Linked DNA regions of Alligator mississippiensis. The protein of the gene in region 2 purifies or fractionates together with the protein of the main gene of each other region. This does not show direct contact. Links are inferred from orthologs where the notes say so. Each region holds a gene or a part of one and is shown on either strand. Other genes may lie near its edges. The genes, in order: VDAC3 and ABCC1.

Region 1 (8,360 bases), on a different chromosome or scaffold from region 2:
TAGTAATTCCTGCATCACATTCATAACTTGTTTGAGCCAGGACATATTTTTAGAAAGATATCTAATCTTACAAGTCCTCAAGAGACAGAGGATTTAACACACCCCTTAATATGCCATTCCAATGGTTAATCAACCACATGTTAAATATTTGTTCCTTCTTCCCACTCTCAAATGTATCCAAACTCGCACTCCCTCTGCATTCTATTTTGCCTTTCTTCCAGAGCCCTCAATCAGAGATTCGCCCCATTACAGACTGGGATCAAACTCACCTTTTAGTCTCTTCTTTTCAAAAGCTAAATAAATTGAGGCATTTAAATCTCACAGCAAGGCAGGCTCTCTCAAGACCTTGTCCTTCTTCTCTGTTTTGACATGATCTCACACTGACAATACCACTTCTTCCCTATTCCTACTTGACAGTCCACCATTTATGTATCCAAGGATAATTTTAGTTATCTTTCATCTTGAATGCTCCTAGATTTCTATTCTAAAAAGAGAAACCTTTTAGCTGAACTTTGCCACATTTTAGCTTGGCCTTTGTTAATACTACCAAAAGAGATTAAAAAAAAAAAAGATACCATGCTAAGATATCCTTGCCTCTTGCCTAATTTCTGGACTACCAAGGCTACAGCATCACACTTACACTACTGTATTAGAATCAACACATGATAATGCTACTTACCATAACCCTTGTTGAATACATCTCTGGCAGATTTCCCCAGGTCACAGTACGATGGTGGGACAGCCATTGGGTCTGAAGAGATAAGAAATGGGAAGAACCCATATTTCATGACACAGAAACAAAAAACATAGCTCACTAAGCACTTAAGGTACCCAGCAGAAAAGAAACCATGGTGCAAGGCAGCAGTCTTCTACTGTGTTCAGTGACCTCCCTTAGTCCAACACTGGTTTTGTCAGAAAGGTAGTGGGGTTTATCTGCACAGAACATTTAAAAAAAAACAATCTACACCCAAAACACCATATCCTAGGAGTGAAATTTAACTCCAACAGGATCCTTGTGCCTCAGTTAATACCATATTGGATAAATAACATACACACGCTCCAACATACATATGCTACAATGGCTGTTCCATGCCACTTCAAAATAAACTTTCTTTTCTCCCACCGGTGTTCTCAGCTCCTCCCCTCAAGCAGTCACCACAGCTTTGGGAAAACATAAAAAGGACTTCCGTTTATAAAACAGGGAGGCGACCCTGCTGATGTTTCTACAAAAATATACAGAAAAGAAAAGATGGCAGCAGTAAGGTCTAGATACGTAACTGTCTGAACAAAATTAAAATTAAGAGAACAAGATCCACAAACACATGAGGCACAAATCTAAAGAGAGAAGCGTTAATTTTAACACTGAATTACTTGGCCTTTTTGACTTGTCAAAATGTATCATTTCTTTCAAAAGTATGTAATACCCTTTTCCCCAGCAGCTAAATGCTTTTTTGACATTAAAGATGGCTCTGGAATAGAAGCTACAGACCCCAGAAATGCAGATTTAGACCTTAAGGTCTGATACCCATCATGCCACTGTGATGGGTGGTTTCAGGAAGAACAGACTAGCCCACAGGTGAACTTTGTTAATGGCAGCTCTCTGTCTCTTAATCCTTCCTAAAAGAGGCTCATTTGTTAAGATTCCTCTACTCAACAGCTCCACTAGAAACAGCTCTTGTTGATAAATTATGTCAGACAGAAATTCTTTCTTATCCAAGACAACAATGCAAGGATTTTACCTCCTAAAGTCACCAGTTCCCTTCAAACCATTTACCTTTCCTTGGATCTACACAGCAATGCTACTGTTTAGAAGCCTCTTTCTGATTTCTGGTGGACTTTTCTTCCTCATGTTCTTTCTAGAAACCTGACCATTTTTATTCTGACCTTTGTAGGATGAGAAATCAATTCTTGCACCAAGCAGCTTCTAACACTGCCCTCGAAAAGACAGGACTAATCAAATGCAGAACTGCTTTTGCTCTCTTGTGTCAAGGTTTCTGTATTAACTCATCCTTGCAACTGGACAATGTAGGCCTTTCACAGATGTTAGGGGCTGGAAGGGACCTTACAAGATCATTGGGAGCAGCCACCCTGCACTTGGGCAGGAAAGCCCAGCAAAGTGGGCACCAAGCCATTTTCTGAAGATCTCCAGGGTGGGTGACTGTACCACCTCTGGGGGGAGCCTGTTCCACACCTTCAGCACTCGACTAGTTTTTCCTTATGTCCAGTCTGAAGCAATCTTTAATCAGCTTGTGCCCGCTATTCCTTGTCTTCCCCTTTCCCTAGATGCAGCATTCAGATAACTTCCACTCCCCTCACAGATACCTTAAGGATGGCTTTCCATGCTGTATAAATATATACACACATATCTATCTGTATATACCTGTGGGTCTAGCAGGTCTAGAACAGCTGGACATGACTGCAGACTCCTTATATGAAGCTTTAGGTCATAAATTACTGTACTTCTTAACTGTCAAGTTATAAAATGCCTCTCTACCTGTCAAATACGGAAAAAAGATGCATGCGTTGTTAAAGATAAAAGACAAGCGACACTGACACTGCGCCGCAGGAATTGCGGTAACCGTTATGATGGCTGCATTTCTTTATCGACGCTACTGTCACCCAAATAATCTTCCAACTGAATACTCATCAAGCTCTACACCCAGCAACAAGAGGCATCACACGGTTTAAAAGACTGCCCGATGCTCTTTCATCTGCAAGTCTCTTGCTGGGGGATTGTTCGCTGCGCTTATTACAACACAGCTCCGTGACCTGGTCTGGACTAGATATTTAATAAAAAGGCGTAACCGAGGCAAGACCTTCACCCTGGGAAAAGTTTAAAAACCGGTACAGTGGATACGTGATAACGATGCTTATCATGTATCCCCCATATTGGTTTTTAAACCTTCCCAGGGTGAAGGTCTTGCCTTTGTTATGCCTTTTTGTTAAACAGCAGGCACTTTTACTAGCAAAAGCCAAGCCCAGAAGAGCCCCTCGGAGGCAAAAGCAGCAGCAGGATGAGACCTGCCGGCCCACCACCGTCTTGGAGCAGCATCCCCACTCCCACGCCCTGGTTCCCAGCACAGCCCCGCTTCCTGCCTCGGCCACGCGGTGTGCTGCCACCACTCATGATTTCTGGCGTTGCTCTGAACACAGCCATGCTTCGGGAATGTGAAAGCGTCGCTCTTTCTTTTACACGTCTATATGAAGATGTGTGTGGGGGGGGGGGGAGGGGCGGCACGGCTCCTGGCCCACAGCAAGGCCTGCTCTGCCCCGGGCCGGAACAGCCGCGCCCATCGGGGCCCCGCGCCGCGCGCCGGGACCAGCCGTTGGCCGCGCCCGCCACAGGCCGCAGCCGCCCAGCCCCCCGGGCCAGCCCAGCGCGGAGGCCGCGGCCCGTTCCCGGCCCCGGTCCCGCCCCGCAGTACCTGGCAGCGGCGCCCGTCCGTCCGTGTGACTGAAGGACTCCGCAAACGCCCGCGGCCTCCGCGTCGCGCTGCTGACGTAACCGCAGGCGCCGCGCAATGACGCGCCGGAGGAGGGGGCGGGAAGGCGAGCGCTCCACGCGGGCCAGCAGGGCGCGCTTGCGCACTAGGCGCCTCCAGCCCGTCCGCCCGCGGCACGTGCGGGCGCCCCCTGGCGGTTCGCGCGGACAGAAGCACGTGCGGCTGCAAGCCGGAGCAAAGCGACGCGCTTCCTTCCCTTCCCGCCGCAGCCTCAGCCTCAGCCCCGCGGCCACCATGAGTCAGGCTCGCGGAGAACAAGGAGCGCGCGGAGCTTAGCGCAAAGCGCTTGGCAAAGGGAAGGGCGGAAGTGCAGGCGATTAGCCGGGGAGCGCACCACATCCTGCCTCTCTCTCAGCCCTTTGAACTCCTGGATAGGCCGTAATTAGGAGGGCTCAGCCGGTGCCCTACCTGCTTGCTCCAGCTCTTGAAGCCTTGTTTTGAAGTGTTGATCCAACAGATTTGAAGAGCTTTGCTGAAGCTTGTGTGGGCTGAAGAGAAAGGAAACAAGGTGAGAGCGGGAGGCGGCGATGGGAAGGAGAGCGAGCTTAGGTATAAATAGCCCCGCAGTCCTGTCCACGGCTCCGCAAGTCTCTCTCTCACGGTCAGTCTCTTGCAAAGACTGCCTCGCTCGGCTTCAACGCTCCAGCACCACTTAACTAACAGCCAGAGCTGCAGCACCCCTTGGGCACAGGTTTGCCTGTCTGAAGGATGGACGCAGTCTGGCTGCTGGCACTCAGCTGCATCTGTTCCCCGCTGGTAGCCCTGGTCCTGGACTCCAACACCATCAAGAGCGCTGCAGAAGTGCACGGCCCCAAGACGGTGAGCGCCCAGGGGCTGAATTAATTTGGTGGGGAGGGCCGTGAATCTGGCTGGTTTCTCAGGCTGTAACCAGAGGAGGGGAGGGCCGTTTGGATCAGGGCCAGGCACAGAGCAGAGAAACATTAAGCAAGAGGATAGACTTACTTTTGCGATACTAACGGACCGACTTGTGCAATACGTGCAGCTGCATCTCTAGCTTAAGCAGACAAGATTCAGCTGTCGTTAGAGCACATCCAGCTGGACGCGGGGATTTCTAAGTGGAGAAAATTCTGAGACTGGGGGTGCATGGCTCTTCTCAAAAGACATGGGGAAACAGACTCCTTATATATACACAAGCCAAGTGGTGGCAGCAGCCTGTCTGAGCTGATGAGCTCCTTCCCGGAGCACTACATTAAGGGTCTGAGCCCAGGACTGCAAGCAAAGGAGGCTCAAGTCCTGTTTTCAGTTCAGAAAATGACCTGCTCTGTAGCATCAGGGCACTTACCAGATTGCCATGTGCTATGAACACCGCCCCTTGTGGGCAGTAGGAAATGTAGAAGGACTGCTACTTTTAAAATAATAATGCTAATACTATGAAAGAACTGCTACTTGCTGAGAGCCAGCACTGCACAAGGCCTAATGAAGAATGCAGCTGCAGCCCTTTTCACCAGACATGCTGAGCCAGAGCCAGAACACTAGCAAGTCTTATTTCTGCATTAACACGCACAGGAGGCTCAAGTCTCTTTCTGTACAAGCAGCAGAGCATTTTATTACTGGTGCTGATAAACATGAGTTTTTCCCTCTGAAGAAAATAAGCATTCTCCCTCCCTCCCTCTCTCTCTGTAGAGCTCACCATGCATGACAGACAAAGACTGCAATGCAAGCAAATTCTGTCTCACTCCTCAGGATGGCATGCCTTTCTGCTCTACCTGCCTTGGGTTACGGAGAAGATGCCAGCGCAGTGCTATGTGCTGCCCAGGGTCTATTTGTCTAAATGGTAAGCTCTCACACTCATGTATTCCTGGTACTTAAAAGGGATAGTGAAAGTAGAACAGGAAGGACCATGCACACTGCAGAAGTGATGGTGAGGTTTTGAGAGATTTACTTTTTGATAATGTTGAATCTAATCCCTATGGCCTTTCTTTACAAAGCAGTTTTCTTAACTGAGTCATGCAGCAGACTAGGAGCTTTTTCAAAACAAACTGCAGTGTTGTATACACAGCTGAATGCATTAAGAACAGCAAAGCTGATAGTAATAAGAACAAAGCCCTTGTTACGAAGCATAGCTAACTGAGGCAGATCTATAGCCAGCATGTTCAGGGGACTTATCAGAAGACTTATCTTCTTATAGCAGGAAGAAATTAAATTTTAACAAGAGGCACAAGAGGCTAGCTAAGAATACAGTGAAAATACTGATACAGCGAAGGAAAAAGCATTTTATAAGTCGCTCTGTATTTAGAAAGAAATGCAACATATTTACACCGTATAGCAATAAGGAAATACTTTGACTAAAAAGAAAGCTACAAGAATGAATTAAGATGTGGGGAATAAAAGTCTTACAGTTATAATCTGTGCAGAGTTTCCAAGAGATAAAGGTTAAGAGATGCAGTGATCAGTCTACCACTATTTCTAAGGGAAGCTTCTTTAATTTAACACAAAGCTTCTAATGGTTGGCAGCTGAAATTCAGACTAGAAATCAGATTGATACCTTTTAACTTTAATTCAAGTTAGGCTCACTTACCCAGGGGTCTGCTGGATTCTTCATCATCACCTGAAGTGTTTGAGTACAGACTGGATGTCTTTTCAAAGACAAGCTGTAACTTAAACAGAATCTGTGGTCTTAATGTCGATATTAACAGAGAGGGTCTGTGGCCTGTGTTTTATGCAAAAAAGTGAGACTGGCTGCTAAGAAAGTTTGGGGGGTTTTCCAGCCTTAAAGCTCTATGCAGCTATGAAAGGTCCCTCCAAACAGCAGTATCAGCATTCCAGCGCTCTCCATAGATATCCATAATTGTAGCCTTCTCCTTTTTGCACTAGACATTTGCAGCCGGGCTGAAGAAGTTAACCGAACGGAGGGAAGGAGGACTGATGAGCAGGATGGTTCTGAGCTGGAGTGGACAACCCAGCATCAGAGCCAAGAAAACTCTTCCAAGAAAGTAAATGTCACCTCTCAACATAGCAAAGGTAATGTGGGCTGAAGAAGAAGAGGGGAAATCATATTCCAGCAGAGGAATAAAGTATACCAAAATGGCAGGATGGGGAGGGGAAGAGAGAAAAGTAAAAGTCTGTGGAGATGCCTGGAATCTCCCATTAGGAAAGAGTGTTTGTACTTTACTTCGTTTGCATAAGAAATGTGAACAGACAGATTCCAGCAATCCTTAAAACTATACATTGGAGAGAGCCGCACTGGAGAAAGCTACATAGTTTCCTCCACTGAGATTAAAATAGCACCTAAGATAATTCAGTCAACATCTTACAAAGAGGGGAAGAACTGGGGTTTGGTTAGTAGAACATCCAGAAAAAAACACTGATATATGTACTTGCTCAGAAATAAAACACGTTCAATTTGTTTCTCTCTTCGTGAGCATGGGACCTCACATTTTGCATCATGTACAATGGCAAGCAGATTGATTATGCTTATGTAATAGGAAATAAGTTTGTTATTCATAACTAAAAAGCTAAGTGTGCAATGTTCCTTTAACACTAACCAAGGGATACTGCAATTTATATAATTAACCCATCGCAATACAGGAAAAGCAGTGGCAGGGGTTTCAAGAGTTTAAGGCTTCAAAAGCTCAGTTATTCAGCAAGCTTGAAGGAACTATTACTACTCCATTATTTTTACTAGCATAGTGCTTAAGTCACAGATAGCACAGGGGCCCATTGTGCTAATCACCATACAGACAAAGGACTAAAGCTGCAAATGTTTACGTGCGTGCCTAAATGTTTGCTCAGATCAGGACAGAGAGAGGAAGACTAGCCCCATCCAAATGAGCTTGCATTTAAAGAGTAAGCTACAAATGAGCTTATACTAGTGAAAAACTTCCAGGGTAGAAGATGGGTTATGTCCACAGTGGGGAGAGGGGGAAGGAGGGCTGTATACAACCTGTAGATTAATGCAACAGCAGCAGCAGTCCTGGCTGTGATTATCGCTCAGTAAACTTTTGTACGCAGGGCACTGACTCTTAAATTTCTTGCTGAGAAGATAAAGATGACTTTCAGGGTGGTGATGCTAGAGGACAGGCAGTTGAAACAGCACAAAGATCTTTGTGTTAGGAAAATATCACTTGTGTTCCAAGTGTCCAGCAGGCAGCTTGTACTTAGAAGTTTAACCAATAACCCACTTCCAGGTTTCTAAGCAGCTGGATCAGAGCAAGGGCTGTGTAGGAGATGGGGGTGGGGGTGTTCTACAACTGAACAGATCAGGACTCTGGCCTAGAGCAAGTCACACCTCAGTTTAAGGTCTCCTTTAGCTTCTTTGCCTGAGGAACAGGCAGTCAAGCCACACCCTGTCAGGAAGCTGCAGTGAGCCCCAAAGTTTTGCTGTCAATTGAGAGCATTTGAACAGGGCAAAAGAGCTAAAGGGAATTAGGAAACAGCCAGAATTGGGGTGGGAGGAGGAGGCGGCAATGGGTCCCCAATGGTGGGGCTGTGTTTTCTCACAAGGAAGAGTGGGTGGGAGGGATCTGTGAGCAAGAAATGGTGTTTGAAGGAGCAAAAGTATAGGGTGAGTTGATACATTTTGTGCAGGTCAAGAGGGAGACAGCTGCCTCCGGACATCAGACTGCACCACAGGGCTTTGCTGCGCTCGCCATTTCTGGACCAAGATCTGCAAGCCAGTTCTCCACGAGGGGCAGGTCTGCTCTCGACGGGGACACAAAGATGTTGCTCAAGGGCCAGAAATCTTCCAGCGCTGCGACTGTAGCCCTGGCCTGACTTGCCGTGTGCTGCTCGCTGGGATTCCCCAACGATCACGCTTAAGTGTTTGCCAGAAAAGCTAAATTACCATTAAAATGCTCAAAGCCAGAGGAGAGAGGAGGAGGGACTCACCCTCTAACT
Region 2 (9,443 bases):
TTTGTCAAAACTGGATAAGATGCACATCTCTTTGCTGGCTTGCCAATTTCAGTTTTATATTTCTGTCATTTCCAGTAATTTCACTTTAAACACAAGGGGACTCATCGCTTACACAATTTAAGCTGAAAGGAGGTGTCCTGTAACCATTTACTGCATCTTCTACCTGCTTCTGAACCACAAATTCTATTCCAGCCACCTTCTACTTGATGGTCAAGTGTAAGATGCTATTCTACTGGCACTATTATCTTCATATCTGTGCAACAGCCAAAAGTTTGACATCATGACTAGAAGATAATTCTTACAACATGTACATATGAGGTCCAGAGTTTAGCAATTATAATAAAACATCACTCAGTTCTCTAAAGCATTGTTTGACAACCAGTGTGCCATGGCACAAAAGCGTGCCATCAAAAATGAGCAGGTGTGCCACAGAATTTTACCATGGCAATGAGCTACAATAGATATGAGGATGGGGAATGCCTTCACAGGTGTGCTGCGGAAAAAACACCTTTAACGTAAGTGTGCCTGGGGCTGGAAAAGGTTGGGAAACACTGCTCTAAAGGACACACACACACACACACACACACTTAATCCCTGTTCATAATTTAACCCATTTTAAAAGGACTGCAAATTAATTCTGAAAGGGGACATGACCATACATAACCTTTAACTTTTTAATTAAGGCCACCAAAACATGGCTTGGATCAAGCAGAATAAGAATTTGTCCTAATTCTCAAGCTTTGGAAGGCATCCAAGAGCAATAGGAGGCTGAACTACTCAAAGTGCTTGTGTGTTACCCAACTAATTAGAAAAAGTTATACAAAGGCACACAATTCAATCGTGAAAATAAGTTACATGCCCAACTTTTAAATTTTGAATTTAGGATTTTTAAATTAGGAGAAAAAGCCTACATATAGAACCTTAAAAATCAATAGTATCTATCAATCTATCTACCTACAGTATGTATGTATGCCAATTTACAAGCGAATCAGGCTACAAATCTGCAAAGATTCCTCTAACATCATTCATTCAGTCAGGGATGATCCTGACTTGAGCAGGAGATGAGAATAGATAACCCCATGAGGTCCTTCCCATTTGGACTTTTGTATAATCATGGGATCTATCTGCCCAAAGACATGCCAGGGTCACCAAGCGCAGCCCAACTAACTACAAACAGTTCCAGTGGAAAATTCTGTATTATTTATTCTATATTGTGATAAAGTGCAAACATGTCAACAGTTTTGTAGCTGAAGCCTAATGACTTCATTTAATATCACCAATACTAGTCAGCAAATGGTATTCCCCATGGTATTTGAACAGCTGTTGAGCCTGCTAAATGACATTGATATTTGAGTTATTTTTCTGGCAAATTCTTACCCATTATTCAGCCGGCTTATTAGGTGCTCAAATACTATTTGACAGTTACATTATTTGATAAATACTTGTAAAATTTATTAAATAGATAGAAAAAAAGCTCAGCAGCCCTAAGCATTAAATCTCTAAAAATAATGTCAATGCCCTCCTTAGTACAATATTTCTTTTCTTACCTTACGTTCACCCCACATTCTCACTTTCTCTTTCTATTCCTTACACCATACGTTCCTCCTCATCCCTTTCATTTCCCCCTCCATATTATACTTCACTTCTCTAAAGTTATACTCAGCCTCCAGCCCCTTATCAAACTTCATGCAACATGCCTGAAAAGTAAACAGGCACCCACCCAACCAGACAGCAACAGACCAACATGAAAGACACTTTCCTTGCTACAAGGTCATTTGTGAGCTATTTTACTGCTCATAACTGCTCTGCTATTTTACCCTGCTCATAACTAGCCCACTGCAACAATAGGAAACCTATAAAGCTTCAGCAGCTGCAGCAAAGCCACAGACTCAGTACGTCTGCAGGCTAAGCAAAATCCCCACTCTGTCGTACGCACTCGATTCGTATTTGGGACATTGAGCTTCACAAAGGCCAACGACTTTTCAATTAAAGCTTGAGTTCTGCAAAAGCTGACTGCAGCAAGGGAAACTTTGTTTGAACTTAAGTTTCACACAGAGAAGAAAAAGAAACAAAACAAAAAAACCCTTTTACTATTCCTTGAATTTGAAAATTTTCAAGAAAACTAAAACTAACTCACGATATTTACAAGTTTGTCTAAAGAAAATGCCGCTCTGAATTCCACAAGCAGCCCAGCAGCCTGGTGCACTTTGTGTGCATAGATAAAACTTTAACAGACATTAAAATTAAAATTATAGGGCAAGCAAGTAATGCAGATGGCTGCCCCAAGGGAGCTACATCATCACAGGACTCTTGCAGTCCAGACAAGCTGGATTAGTAACTATTCCATCTTGCACAATTCGTTTTCATTTAGGAAAGCAGGTTCCCAACCTGTAAACACCCAAGGGACGCCAAGTCCCAAATCTTGCAAGCGTTTCACTATTCGGAAGCTTGAAATAAGTGATATACATCTATACAGGCCCAGACTACGGGGAGCGCACATCTTCGGAGCGGAGCGGAGATGCTCAGTTGTGGTTATTCACCTGAACATAAACTAGAAACAGCTATCAGATGTGCATCTTTCCTGTTGCGACTAGTACTTATGATAATGGTATCCAATTTTGTTATAATAATAATGGTCATCCAGCAAGAACGTCAGCAGAATTGAGGATCCAACATTTATGCTGCAGTAGACCCCTAAAAGCCCCCTGAGGATGAACAGTTGAATCTGCTGGGCGCTAGACCAGACAGACGCCCAGGGAAACGTGGTCCTCAACCCAGCGAGCAATTCTTAAGAGCGATCCCCTCCTGAACCCAACAGACACGTGGTGTTGCATCAGGGGGTAGGGGATCGAGCTCCACTTCAGAGCCAATCCAGGAGCTGCGTGTCTGCCGTCTCCCCCCCCCCCCCCCGGATCCCCACCAAAGGCAGGGGGGCTCCAATCCCTTAGCAAAACACTCCCAAATGCTTCTCCACACCCAGGCTGTTGCTGTTTGTCTTGCGCTGAAGGTGACGTCAGGCAAGAAAGGACAGCACTTCTTATCAGCCCAGGGCACCAGACAGCCGCCTTAGGGGCAGGGAGGTGTACGTCTACCCGCCGGCTCCACACACCTGCTGCAGCCAGTCCCAGTTTGGACTGGGCAACGAAAAAAGCCCACTAGTCCAGCAAACACAGAGGAGCACGCGTGCCGGGGTGGCACAGGGGTCACGAGCGGTCTCCGCGTGTGACACAGCAGGGCCAGAGGGGACGGGCAGGGCAGGGCTGGGAGCGGAAAGCGGAGCAGCAGCCCGCTCGGGGAAGGGAGCAGAGCAGAGCAGCAGCAGGGCCGGGGAGCACGTGGCTGGGAGCGGAAAGCAGAGCTGCAGAGGGCAGGGATGGGAGCGGCCCTGGGGGGGCCGAGGGAAGGAAGAGCCCCGCGCCCTGCCCGGCCGGGCCGTGACACAGCGCCGGGCCGGGCCGGGCCCGAGGAGCGCCCCCCGCTTACCCAGAAGAGGTCGGAGCCGCTGGCGCTGCAGAAGTCCGGGCCCCCCATGGAGCGCGGCGGCGGCTCCCGCTCCCAGCCCGGCGGCGGCGGCCGGAGGAGAGAGAGAGAGAGAGAGCGAGCTAGCGAGAGCGGGGGCGGCCGCGCGCTGCCGATTGGCTGCTCGGTCACGGGGATGCGGAGCGCTCGCCGGGAGGCGCCGCCCGGCCGGAGGCACCTGATGCTCCCGGGGCGCCTCTGGGGGCTCGCCCGCCCGCCCGGCTCCGTGCTGCTCCCGCGGCCTTCCCGGGCCTGCTCTCAGTACGGGCGGAGGCCGCCGGGACGCGCCTTCCAGCGCTAACCTCTCTTTGTCGAGCCCCTTTGCACCTCGCTGGTGAACCGCCCGGAGGCCGCTGCACCTGCGGAGGGGCTGTCCCCGGGGCAAAACCTTCCGCCAGATGTCAAGTTCGCCCCTCAGAAATGAGCTGCTGGCTTGCTGGGTGCTTCTGATCCAACCTCAGCTGGCAGCGGCACAAGGGTCTGCCCTGCGGCAGGGCCTGGGCAGTGGATGGGCTCCCAGCCACAGCGGTGCACCATGCCCCGCGTGAACCATGTGTGCCCCCGAGGCTGGGGGACACGGCGACCACCCACAGGTGGTGGCAGCAAGTGGGGAGCTGCAGCAGGGGGTGGCAAGCAGGGACCGCCCGCAGCCATCGGCGACCACCTGTGGATGCCGTCGGCAGTGAGGGGGAGTGGGGTGGCAACACTTCTTCCAGCCGGTGCACCGCCAATCTCAGGGGGTGTACATGCTATGCATCGCCATTGATGCCCAGCTGGGGCTGGGAGTCCTGTTGCTAAGGGCCTGTTTTTGTCATTGTTTGTCCCAAGTAATTTGTTGTCCCCTTTTCCTGTAGCCTCCCTGTTAAGGGAGGCCAGTGAGAGACTGGGTGGGCTTAGCCCAAGTGTTTTAAAGGGTGACAAATAGGCCTGTAGTGGAGGGGACATTCATCAGGGCACGGACAGAAGTGCAACTCCCCGCTGTAACTGAGAACGCTTTGCAGGAAGGCTGCGGAGTTACAGCAAGCCCTGGGAATGAACACGAGATCACTGTTGGCTCCAGGCTGGGGAATCTAGCTGCTAGTTTTAGTCTGCAGCCAGTTTCCCATAGTGACAGCCCCTCTTCTCTCCCAGCCTGTCCCTTTTTCAGAATAGGAAGGGGGAAGGCAGCAGAGGTCTAGGGGTTCCCCAGCCAGCTCTAGAGGGAGGGTTGGTGAACTGGAACCCCCCTCCCCGCCCCGCCCCACCCTCCAGCAGGGGCTGAAAAGCCCCCAGACCAAACTCCATCTGCTCCCTTCCTCCTCCCCTCACCCCCATTCTTAAACAGCTCGAGGCTGGCAGGCAATGCAGACAAGTTACAGAGGATGCTCTGTTTTGAAACATCTTCATCTGACCGCTCATGCACTGAGGGGTCAGATTTTTACAGGAACAGCCAGTTTTTTAAAGCAGTTTGTAGCCATGCACTTGTGTTTGGTCACAGCTATAGACCACTTTCTGTGGCCAGATGAAGCAAAAATTGTCACTTCTTTCTGAACCCTCTGGGCCACTTGTGGCACCCAGGCTGCAGGTTGGTCACCAGGCTGGGGGCAGTTGTGGAACTGACTAGTTTCCAGTACTGGAGTGCTGCCTACTTAATCCAGGAAGAGCACACACCAACTGCTGCAGCTTCCTTAGCCTGATGAAGGGTTTTTGAACCCGAAAGCTTGCTTAATAACTATTCTCCAACCATTTGGGTTGGTCTAATAAAAGATTTCAAATTCACCCAAGGAACCTTGTCTGCCTATATCCTTAGACCAACACGGCTACAACCTAAACCCCTGCCTACTTAATGAGTAGTGTTTACATTAAGTACATACTTCTGATAAGGGCAACATTTTTTTCAGTCCTGAAGTTATGTCCTTCAGGGCTACATTGTCTGCAGCAATGGTACTATACAGGTTTCCCTCGATTTATGCGGGTTCTTTATATACAAATTTGCTCTTATGCAACGAGCATATTTAGACCCATGATTTGTTATATGCAAGGTAAATTCACTGTTATGTGATCAGTGTAGATGTCCCCCGCCCAAGCAGGTAAGTCTGGGGCGGGGGGAGGAGAAAGGGCCATGTCCCCACTCACCCCAGCCCCGGCTGCAGCGGCCCCGGGAGCAGCCGACACCAGCTGCCAGCACCAGGACACGGCCCAGCCCAGGAGAAGAGGTGAGTGGGGACAGGCAGAGCACAGTGCAGCCCAGCAGCTGCAGGCAGCAGACGCCAGCTGCTCCCAGGGCTGCTGCAGCCAGGGCTGGGGTGCGTGCCGCTGTTTCCTCTGCTTTGCTGCCTTGCGCACCCCTCTCCCTGCCCCTTCCCTAGTCTCAGCCTCGCTCCCTCCCTCACCGCCATGGAAACCTATCCCTATTTGTTACATTATAAAGCGGGTTCACTTTATACAAATTCAGTTTATGCGCCGGTCTCCGGGAACGTATGTACAGCATAAATCAAGGGAAACCTGTATGTGTCAAGACAGGGCAAAATAGGAGCAGTACCACATAGCTGTGATTAATTATTAGCAGCCTTTAGGAATAATCATTTGGTAAGAAACTTCATTGTAACAATTTCCTTGCAAAGCTGATGTAATTAAGCAATAAAGTAGATGGGTTTGTCAGCAATCTTATTTACACTTGAGCATCTCTGAAGGCAGAAGGAGCTGCATTGTATAACCTTGAGCAATGGATCGACTGTTCATCTATTCTAGGTGCACCTTCAAAATCAGACTTGATGCCCCAATTTCACATCAAAAAGAATAGGTGGTAGACATCAATGTTCATGTACATGTCAGTATACATACATGGCATTATATATACCACTATACATGCAATGTGGGGTCAGATTTTCACCCAAACAGCCATTTTTTTGTCTGTCTAGCCATGCACTTGTGTTTGGTCACCCATCTAGCAGCAGAAGGTGATCCAGGAAAAAGAAACGTGATCAGACAAGTAAACCCAACAGCCAAAGGTGGAACTACATTTGTGTAATTTTTTTTGTTTGTTCAGTTTATACGATGACATTAGAAAGGTTGCTTTGCAATACTGCAAGGGAATGTTTGGTCAGGAAAACTCTTTTAAATATATTTTTGCATCCCCTTCTTTCATCATCTCATACCAATAACACTACCTGGCAAGGTTGTTAAAGTATCTCTTTACCATCCATGATGACCCACATCAATACCATACACATCTGGTAGGTTACCAATCTCGCTTGTAAAGAATCAGGACACATCTACAAACACTGTAGTAGGTCTCTCTCATGGCTATGTATGTACTGAACAACTACTACTACTGCTACCGATGACAAATTCATAAGTTATTCTTCAGCCTAACATGACGTTTTGGAGTTAGTTACTGCATAATTAGTGGCACTGAATAAAGACGGGAAGTTCTATTCTCTACTAGGAGAAAAAACAAGTATGAAAAACAAAAAAGTATGAAGTCAGGAATGTGAACAGGACACATTTTTCCTCTTCCTCGCCTTCTGTCCCTCATTTCTGTCCAGTTATATGCTAGGATGTCTGCAAAAAACACCTCTTCCGTTACACTTTCAAGACTCAACTAAGATGGAAGATATTAAAAGGATCATTTTCCTTTGATTATCAAGCAGTCGTGCCACAGATAACAATTTCAACTTTTACTGTTCTTTCTATTCTAAAGAAGTTTTTTTCAGGACATTAAAAACACAGAGATGGCTAATAACCAACCAACCAGAACAAGTCTACTGTATAGCTTAACTTCAAAATTGCCAAACCTTTCTAACATAAATAAAAGCTCTCTCTTCCTAGTAATACAGTATTTCTAAATAACCTAAGACACCTGAATTATTATTTCATCTGAAGAAAAGTTAGTTTAATTCTATAATTTTTTTCTATTTATTCCTAGTTTGGGTCTTAAACAAAATATATTAATATTTTTCCTTGAGGTTTGCACATGAAAATGAATATGTCCATACTTTTTGTCCGATTGTAGATAATCTGGTTGTTTAGAGAACATCTTGAAATCTTGCTATATTGGGCAATTAGCTGGTTTTGGAGAAGAGGCTATCATTGTATGTAGATACAAGTCTGTATTATTGGGGAGTAAATTGGTAAGATTGAACATTCATGGAGTATCTGTAATAAATATTATTTTTTTAAAAGGTTATTCTCATCTGTACTATTTCATAAGTGATAAATACTCATCAGGAACGGCGGCCTTAAGAGGCCTCAAAATCCTATTGAATCCAAAAGAAGCTTAATTAGTTCCTTAACTAAGCTTTCAGATGTTTCTTATAGAAATTCTAAATAAAATTAAATTATATCGTGCCACCATAATGGGATGAGGGTGAAAGCAGTGGAAGAATTCAGAAACAGCAACAAAAAGAACACCAAGAATTTTCCATCAGATGCAGCATCTAATGAGTGGAACAGGGAAGATGAAAACAAATATGGGCTCAAGCAGTGCAAAAATACAAAACAAATGAAATCTTGCTTTGCACACAGAAAAGACACAACAAAATTCATGGGATACACATTTATTTGAGAATATGAAAAAAAGTTCTACTTTGGACTGTTTGCCAGAGAGAAAGAAAAACAATCTGAAAAACAGAAAGACTAAAAGGCATGGAAGACGCCTGTGCGTGACTTCTTTTATTTTGGAAAAGCTGCTGCATATCAGCTTTCACACAGCTCATGACAGAATGGGACATTAATCCAATGGCAGGGAGACCAAGACAGCTGTGGATCTCGTTCAGTTGCAGCCTTCATCTGCCTCCCCAGCCATTCAGATTCTAACATTTTCTTCCACCTGCTTTGCGGTTGAGGACTGTAGACCCATAGCTAGGAGCTAGGCAGGCTTATTATAGTGGTGACCTGTACTCATCATGTCACAGCACGGTCAGAGGATACACATGGCTTTTCAGGAGGGAAACCTTTGCCATTTGCTGTCCCCATCACATCCTGGTGGTGCTGCTGCTGCTTGGTGCTTATTCTTCAGTTACCCCTGCTTATTTCATGGCTAACCTTCCCTGAAGGTCATTCCACTATCCACCACCTGTGGATGCTACAGGTCTGCCCCACAGAGACTAAAAGGAAGGACAGGAGGGAAATAGTGTACTCACTCCTCTGTGGATCTCTGTCAGTGAAACACACCCTTGGTGAGGTAATGGACAATGGAAATGAAAAAGCCAATCGCCAGAACGCTATCCTAAAAGCAGAGCTACTGCCCCCACTACAGCAATTCCACTGGTTTACACTAAGCATGAATTATACGGTGTAATAGAGGAAGTGCTCTTGGTGGCTTCCAGGTACCAGCTAGTAAAAATTTCCCACTACATTAAAAGGACTTTGGTCAGATGATTTCACCCCCACTATAATCCACAACTCTCCTTCCAGGGTGTGGCCGAGACATCTCTATCAGAAATGATTCAGGATGTCTTACGCAAAGCTATGACATGCAGAAGTTTTGTTGTGGCAACAGGCACTTAGAAATGGTGCACTTGCCCGTAGAGGCCACCATAAGTAAATAGCTCACGATTCCAAACTACCAAAGCCTGGCAAGACAATCTAGACCAGGTCATTCCTCCTACCTTGTAGGCCAGGGTCCAGACATGCAAGGAGAACTGCATCAGGCCTCCACACTCACTGGCAGCCCCTTTCTTCAACAGTACCTCAAAACAACCAGCACCCAAATCAGTTCTGACAGATTCTTTTAATATTACAAGTAAAACCCACAACCCTTATTTTTGTTGCAAGCTTAAGCACAGGGGGATGTTTTCTCCCAGGTATAAATCAGGCACCCCAAGTATCTCTCTCTCTCTCTCTCTCGGAAAATTGTTCATGTTCCAAGTCAAATCAGCTAAATCGATTCCAAATCTCTGAGTCATTCACGAACCATATGTGGCTCTACTACCGGCAAACAT

Evidence for each region.
Region 1: the proteins of ABCC1 (region 2) and VDAC3 fractionate together in Homo sapiens (co-fractionation; 3 studies listed by BioGRID). This does not show direct contact. The link is inferred for Alligator mississippiensis from reciprocal best matches to the Homo sapiens genes ABCC1 and VDAC3.

What each region holds. Positions count from the first base shown.
Region 1 is NC_081830.1:17,208,376-17,216,735, forward strand, and holds the start of VDAC3 (voltage-dependent anion-selective channel protein 3), read right to left. Parts: upstream 3,521-8,360; 5' UTR 3,426-3,520; intron 1,094-3,425; exon of another isoform or gene 1,069-1,093; intron 752-1,068; 5' UTR 747-751; coding exon 680-746; intron 1-679. Other genes in the region: DKK4 (dickkopf-related protein 4), read left to right, coding at 4,212-4,322, 5,148-5,298, 6,339-6,485, 8,052-8,302. UniProt on the Homo sapiens protein: Non-selective voltage-gated ion channel that mediates the transport of anions and cations through the mitochondrion outer membrane and plasma membrane.
Region 2 is NC_081836.1:43,011,273-43,020,715, reverse strand, and holds the start of ABCC1 (multidrug resistance-associated protein 1), read right to left. Parts: upstream 3,777-9,443; 5' UTR 3,532-3,776; coding exon 3,484-3,531; intron 1-3,483.